2 linked regions of the Mus musculus genome follow. The protein of the gene in region 1 binds, or shares a complex with, the protein of each later gene. Links are inferred from orthologs where the notes say so. Each region holds a gene or a part of one and is shown on either strand. Other genes may lie near its edges. The genes, in order: Nhp2 and Dkc1.

Evidence for each region.
Region 2: Nhp2 (region 1) and Dkc1 share a complex: the UniProt entries of both Homo sapiens proteins name them as parts of the H/ACA small nucleolar ribonucleoprotein (H/ACA snoRNP) complex. The link is inferred for Mus musculus from reciprocal best matches to the Homo sapiens genes NHP2 and DKC1.

What each region holds. Positions count from the first base shown.
Region 1 is NC_000077.6:51,618,266-51,622,771, reverse strand, and holds the start of Nhp2 (H/ACA ribonucleoprotein complex subunit 2), read right to left. Parts: upstream 3,000-4,506; 5' UTR 2,955-2,999; coding exon 2,795-2,954; exon of another isoform or gene 2,691-2,794; coding exon 2,621-2,690; intron 288-2,620; coding exon 182-287; intron 1-181. UniProt on the Homo sapiens protein: Required for ribosome biogenesis and telomere maintenance. Part of the H/ACA small nucleolar ribonucleoprotein (H/ACA snoRNP) complex, which catalyzes pseudouridylation of rRNA.
Region 2 is NC_000086.7:75,105,805-75,108,332, forward strand, and holds part of Dkc1 (H/ACA ribonucleoprotein complex subunit DKC1), read left to right. Parts: intron 1-473; coding exon 474-577; coding exon of another isoform or gene 578-581; intron 582-1,367; coding exon 1,368-1,446; intron 1,447-2,374; coding exon 2,375-2,500; intron 2,501-2,528.

The sequences.
Region 1 (4,506 bases):
CCATCTTACAGGAAGGAAGCCTGCCAGCCATGTGCTATGTACTTTAGTCCTAGCTGAGATGCCATCTCAAAAAGAAAAACAAGCCACCCAGACCTAAGAATTCCAACACCTGAGATAATTCCTCAAACAGCCTCCCTAGGGCCAAGATGGGAATGGGGCAGGGTGGGCATGCGCTTCTCACCGTCTTAGAGGGGATGTAGACGTAGGGCAAGTTCTGGTCCTCGCACAGAACTGGAAGATGGCAGTACACCTCAATCGGCAATGTATCTCCTGCCAAAACCATGATCCTGCAACAAGAGAAGGCACCATCAGTTCTCCTTTGCTCCGTCTCTTTCCCTTTCAGTTCTAAGAGCTATCTCCAGCCTGGCTGTGAGGGCAGAGTCCAAGAAAATGCCCCACCCCAACCAAGGACCCCCACACTAGCCTTCAACTTCTGAAAGGAGTACAAAGTCATGTTTGGCAAATGCATTCCTCTGGGGACATGGTCTCTACTTGACAGCATGTAAATGCCACCGAATGTGACTAGAGGTGAAGTGCTGGGACAGATGAGGTACAGGAGAAATACCACGAAATAGGAACTCGGCTCTCCTTAGAGTCAGTTATGTTCCAACCAGGAGATGACCCTTGAACAGAGACTTGAGTGCCATGATGATTCCAGAATGGCAGGTGTGGGGACAGAATAAGGCCAAGGGTGGTACTGAAGGGCTGGTTGCCTTCTGCAATAGATAACTAGTGTGTGTGTGTGTGGTGGGGGGGGGGTGTCAGAGAACAAAGCTGAGAGGACTGGCAGGGATCACACCTAAGTGTTTGAGTAACACACAGACTCTGTCCCAAGAGAAAGCTTGCCAGGGCCCTCAACCATGGCTGAGAGCTGTCAGTGTACCAGACCCAGAAGTCCTGAAGATCTGCCCGGTGTAAGGGTGGTAGACATCTGTTTGCATACTCCGTTCCCTTTGGCACAAGGCTGGTCCTTTCCACTTGTTCCTTTGCTGTCCTTCTTTGTGGTCCCTTTCTCCTTGCCTTCCTGACCTATCATGGTGCCAGGGGCCACCTGAAGCTACCAGCCCCCATCTGCCCTACCAAAACATCTGCCTGTAGAATAGCTAAGCAGAGCATGTCCAAGGCATTTTCCATGTCAACTCAGGACGCCTCAGAGGGTAAAGACACTCACTGCCAAGCCTGGCCACCTGAGTTCAATCCCAGGGGCCTGAATGGCAGAAGAGAATCAGCTCTCCAAGTTGTCCGCTGGTGTTCACATGGGTACCAGATGCACATGTGTCCATACACATGCAAGTAGGCACCCACACGTAATAAAAGGTATCTAAAAACCACACTTCAGATGTTTTCACACAAACCTGGCTTTCCTCCACTGTCTGTCTGCAGTCACACACTACAGCCCAAACTAGCATGCAAAGTCATTATATGTCACCGTCTCTCAAATCCCTCAGCTGTAGCTCCTGCCCATCACCTGCCTTGGGCCATAACAGCTTACTAAGTCTGACTTGCCTCTCCTAATTCTTCCCTCGATGTCACGCCTCAGCTTGCACTCTGTTCTGAGAACACTAAACCTACCTTAGAAAGCCCACGAGGGGGAAAAAGAAAACAACAACAACAACAACAACAAACAAAACCGGGCATGGTGGGGCACGCCTTTAATTCCAACACTCCGGAGGCAGAGGCAGGCGGATTTCTGAGTTTGAGGCCAGCCTGGTCTACAAAATGAGTTCCAGGACAGACAGGGCTACACAGAGAAATCCTGTCTCAAAAAAAAAAAAAAAAGAAAGCCCAGGAGGGCTGGAGAGCCGGCATACGGGGATGCATAGCCATTTCTGGGGGTGCATGGCCATTTCTAACTCCAGTCCAAGGAGACCTTACACCTTGCCTTCTGGTTGCCAAGGGCACCAGTGATGCACCAACATATACACGCAGGCAAAACAGTCATACACTTAAAAGGAGTAACCACTTACATTGTGTAAGTGCCACTACACTGCCCTGTCCAAGAGCCTACTCTTCTCAGGATTCCACCCCCTCACCCCAAATAAACCTTCATTCATTCATTCTCTTCCTTTGTTGTTTTGAGACAGGGTCTCTATACATAGTCATGGCTGAAAACTTAAGAGATCTGCCTCTGATGGGATTAAAGGCCTATCACTGGCTTATCATTTTCTCCTTTTGGGAGTTTTGTTTGTTTTGAGACCTGTCCATAGACCACGACGGCCTTGAACTAGCTATACTTCGGAAGCTAGCCCGCATTCTCCCCTGCCCTACTTGGGAAAATGTCTCTCTACATATAGCACGTTGCCTAGAGCCTGAAAAAGTTGTGCCGTTCTACAGAGTGAATGATCAGGACTCTAGTTTACACGGGCTGGATTCCTATTCTCTTCCCTGTCATTTACTGGGAGTTCCATTTACTGGTAGTGAAGGGAGTTGACTGCTAGACTGGTTGGTCAACTTCACCTTTATTGAGTAGGTGGAATTTCTTCTTAACCAGTTAATAAGCCAAACTTAGTGCCGTAGTACTTGTGTACCGTGCACAAGGCCCTAGGTTCAATCCCCGGCACTGGAATATAAAAATAAAAACCACACAAAACTTAAAAACCAGAGGAAGCCGGGTTCTTACCCTTTCTCGCCCTTGTTGACAAATTTCTGAACCTCCTTCACCCCGCGACGAATCTGCTTCTGCTTCACAGCTACAAAGAGAGAGAAGCGTGAGCCGACACCTCGCTCACGAGGCTCGACCCCGGGCCGCCCAAGTCACCGGTCCCGGACCGCGATCGCCACGCGCCCGCCTCACCCTTCTTGATGCACTTGTAGAGCTTGCGCGTCAGGCGGCGGGAAGCCAGGGGCTGCGCGATGGGGTTCAGATTGACCAGCAGCTCTTTGTACGTGCGCTCCTCGCTGCAGCCCTCCGCCTGCGCCTCGGACTCTTCGGGAGCGGCCTTTACTTTGGTCATCTTAGCAACTACAACTCCGTCCCGGCATAGAGGAACCACGCGGCCGCCGCCTCCGACATCACTTCCGGGTTTTCAAGTGGCTCTACCCTGTGACCAATTGGGAAACTAAATATTCTACACCGACCAATCTCTAAGTAGATCTCTAGGGGCGGGATTTTGGATATGGGGGCGGAGTTAAAGGTCAATCTAAGCACGGGATTTGGATTTTCACCGCGGGAATCCCAGGGAGGCCGAATTTAGAACCGGGTTTCCAGAGGGAAAGGGGCGGGGCCTGGGGCCGAGAGGTGGGGCCCAAAGGGAAAGAGGCGGAGCCCAAAGGGAAAGAGGCGGGGCCCGGAGAGATTGAAGAGCGGGTGGAAGGAAAATACACAACGGGATTGTGTCCCCTGAGCTCCTTGTGACCTGCCTTGTGACCTGCTGCTGCTGGTTAGGTAAAGCCTGGCGCACCTGAAAGTTTTTTCATATTTTCTTTTCCCCCTCCTAGATCCTGTTGCACAAACTATAAACCGCACACCTTTGATCCCAGCAGTGGGGAGGCAGGGGCAGGTGGATCAGGTCAGCCTGGTCTACATAGTGACTTCCGCTGGGCAGTAAGGTCAGCCTGGTCTACATAGTGACTTCCGCTGGGCAGTAGTGGTGCATACCTTTACTCTCAGCATTTGGGAGGCAGAGGCAGGAGGAACTCTGAATTCAAGGCTAGCCTGTTCTACAGATCGAGTTTCAGGACAGCCAGGATTACACAGAAACAGTCTCCAAAAAAAAAAAAAAAAAAAACCGCAAAGAAAAAAGAAAAAAAAGAGGCCGGGCAGTGGTGGCGCATGCCTTTAATCCCAGCACTTGGGAGGCAAAGGCAGGTGGATTTATGAGTTCAAAGCCAGCCTGGTCTACAGAGTGAGTTCCAGGACAGCCAGGGCTATACAGAGAAACCCTGTCTTGAATAAAAACCAAAAAACAAAAACCAACCCCCCCCAAACAAACAAAAAAACACAAACAAACAAACAAAAAAACCCACTCCAGTTCCAGGGGATCTGAAATGTCTAATCTGCAAGGGCCTCAGGAGTGCATGTGCTGCACAGATGTGCTTTCAGGCAACACACTCACACACAGGAAATAAATCAATCAAAAGTTCTTAAATGTTAAAAGCAAATCTGAAAAACCAGAAAGGTAGGAAGGAAGGTGACATGTGCTGGATGAAGAGTCCAGCTAGCTAATGAGAACCCTGGAGCAACAGGAAACGGGGACCTCAGCTCTGTGACGTAGAGGGACTGAAGCTGGTAAGGGTGAATATGAAGGAGGATCCTGAGTGCCAGATGCCAAAAATCAGGCCCACATTTAGATCTGTGTTTTGTGAAGGACACAGAACTTACCTATCCCTGATTGACAACTATGAGACCTGTGAGATAGTTGAGTATGATTTCCAGCCACTAAAAGCCATCACTTGGACAGCAGCAAGAGGACCAGGATATGTCAGATTGGGATACATTCTCTGAATTGCCAAGAAAGACAGAACCAGGGAAGGCTGTTGGAGGAAGGAGCACTGGGTAGCCTAGTA
Region 2 (2,528 bases), on another chromosome or scaffold:
TTGTATTTGCATTAATAAGTACCAACAAATGCAGGTCTTTGTTGGCCATATTTGAAGCTCTAGATTATTGTCAGTGAGCAGAGGCATGCCCTGTCTTAGACTTCAGAGATTCTCCCTCTAGTTAAGAGAAACCTTTGGGCATTACTTAATCTCACTGGGGTTGTGAACTATGACTGTCAAAAATGTGGAGTGGTCTCTTGGTTCCTAGAGTATCCACAGTGAAAGTTTTAACTTCATCATGGATCTGGGCAAGATTTTTCCACTTCAGCTATTGTGAAGAATAGGTTAGAGATTGATGACAATAAGAGAAGAGGGAACAAACGATTCAGGACATTTTGTAAGGGGTGTGAAGCTGAGAATATGTAAGAAACCTTGCTTGTGATAGTCTGTGCAGACTGGGTCTAAGCTGTAGTCTATAATCATAATGGCTACTTCCTGTATTGACAGTAGTCTAATGTTTGGAATGCTTCCAGGCAAGTCAGAAGAAGATGATGATCAAGCAGGGCCTTCTGGACAAGCATGGCAAACCCACAGACAATACCCCTGCCACATGGAAACAGGATTACATTGACTATAGGTAAGGATGGAGTTTGTTGGTTTATTCCATTGTCTTTATTTTATTTCTTTAACTTTATTCTTTGTGAATTTCACATCATACACACCAAGCGCACTCATCTCCCCATGCCTTCATATCCATCCTCTGCCCAAGGCAACTGCCACCCCCATAAGGAAAAAAGTTTTGGAAGCTGTAGTGTGTTACAGTGTGTTACATCTTTACTTGCAATGAATCATTGGACTGGTTTGAGGCCTCTGGCTTCTGCTACACTATCAATGTTGGCTCCTCACTGGGACTCCTCTCTGTTGGTGCCCCATGTCATGGAGATCCTGCAGCTTTAGATATGCAGGACCAGCCCTTTTATGTGCTGCAGCAGTTCATAGATGGGGTAGATGTTGAAATAGACCAACTCAAAGTTCTGGATGTGGGCCTGGGTGGTAAGGATGGGCTTTGGGGGACTGGGGTAATGTAGTACACTTGAGTACAGGAAACTGCACAGCCAAGGGGAGATGGACGGTTTTATTTGGGATAAGTGCTAAATGCTTTGCCACAGGCCCTAATGCAGCTCACTCTTTCCCTTGCTTGGCTCTTTGAAACCTGGGTCAGTAAGTACTAGTAGTCAGGGCATGGACTGTGGAGATAATCAGTCTGTAAAACCAACTGTTGGTTCTTTTGTCTAGCATCAGTGTTTTAATTGGGGGTTTTAGGGTTGCCCAGTATCATTGAATAACAAGGGGCATGATAAGATATAATAGGACCACCATGGAAAACTCTTCTATGAATCTAACCTCATATTACCTTTGTCTTTCAGTGATTCTGGCAAGAACACACTGGTTACCGAAGCAGTACAAGCCCCTCAGTTAGCTGCTGAAGCAGTAAATGTCATAAAAGTGAGTGGCATGATCTGTTTGAAAGGTGCTTGCTTCAAACTGGGTGGGGTGGTGGCGAATGCCTTTAATCCCAGTACTTCCAAGACAGAAGTAAAGCAGCCTGGTCTACAGGAGTGAGTTCCAGGACAGATGGAGAAACACTGTCTCAAAAACAAACAACAAAGGAAAGAAAGAAGTGTGCTTAAAGAGATACACCAGTGTTTAAGGTAGTCTAGCCACAAGTCCTAGCAAGTAAGGCAGGCTTATCCATGCAGTGCTCTACACACACTATCTCCTACTTGAGGATGTTTGTTTGGTTCAGTAGCATTTGTGTTGTGTCTGTGGTAGGGGGAGTATGGACTTAAGAATCAATTACCTTGGTTCCTACCTCCACTGTGACACAGTGTGGAGTGGAATAACCTTGTGTGGAATGTGTCACACATATTTTGACTCTACCCTGGGTTAAATAGGTAGCATAAGTGTATTGAAAGCAGAGGCCTCAATGAAATTCAGGAGGAACAGAATTGTCAGAAACCAAAAAAATATTTCTAGTCCATGCTAACTCACTGTTTAAAGGACAAGAGTGAAGCATGTGGTAGTAACCAAGGCTGGGGGCCACTGTCATTAGAGCCCCAAATGGTATGTTTGCTGTCTTGAGTGACTAGTAATGAGCTATATGGGTGGAACTTGCAAGTTGTCAAAGAGCACCTTAAGTCTTGGAGTTGGCTCACTGAGACAATTTCTCAGGGTCTTTTATACGCAACGCTGCTTTGGCACATTCATCATGCCCCATGGCTTACTATATTTTTTATTTAGTGAGATACTGTCTTCAAATCTTTAGAAAATCAGACACTATTCAAGTTTATAGACACAAAACCATTGAATATACGTGGAATCTTTCTTGGTAACTTCCTACATTTCTAACTTCATGTGAATTTTTTTTACACAGAGGAAGCGGGATAGTGAGAGTGAAAGTGATGAGACCCCAACAGTTCCCCAGTTGAAGGAAAAGAAGAAGAAGAAGGATAAGAAGCCCAAAACTGTGCTAGAAAGTGGGGGCGAAACTGGAGATGGGGTATGTGTGAACCATGGGTGTGCCTTTG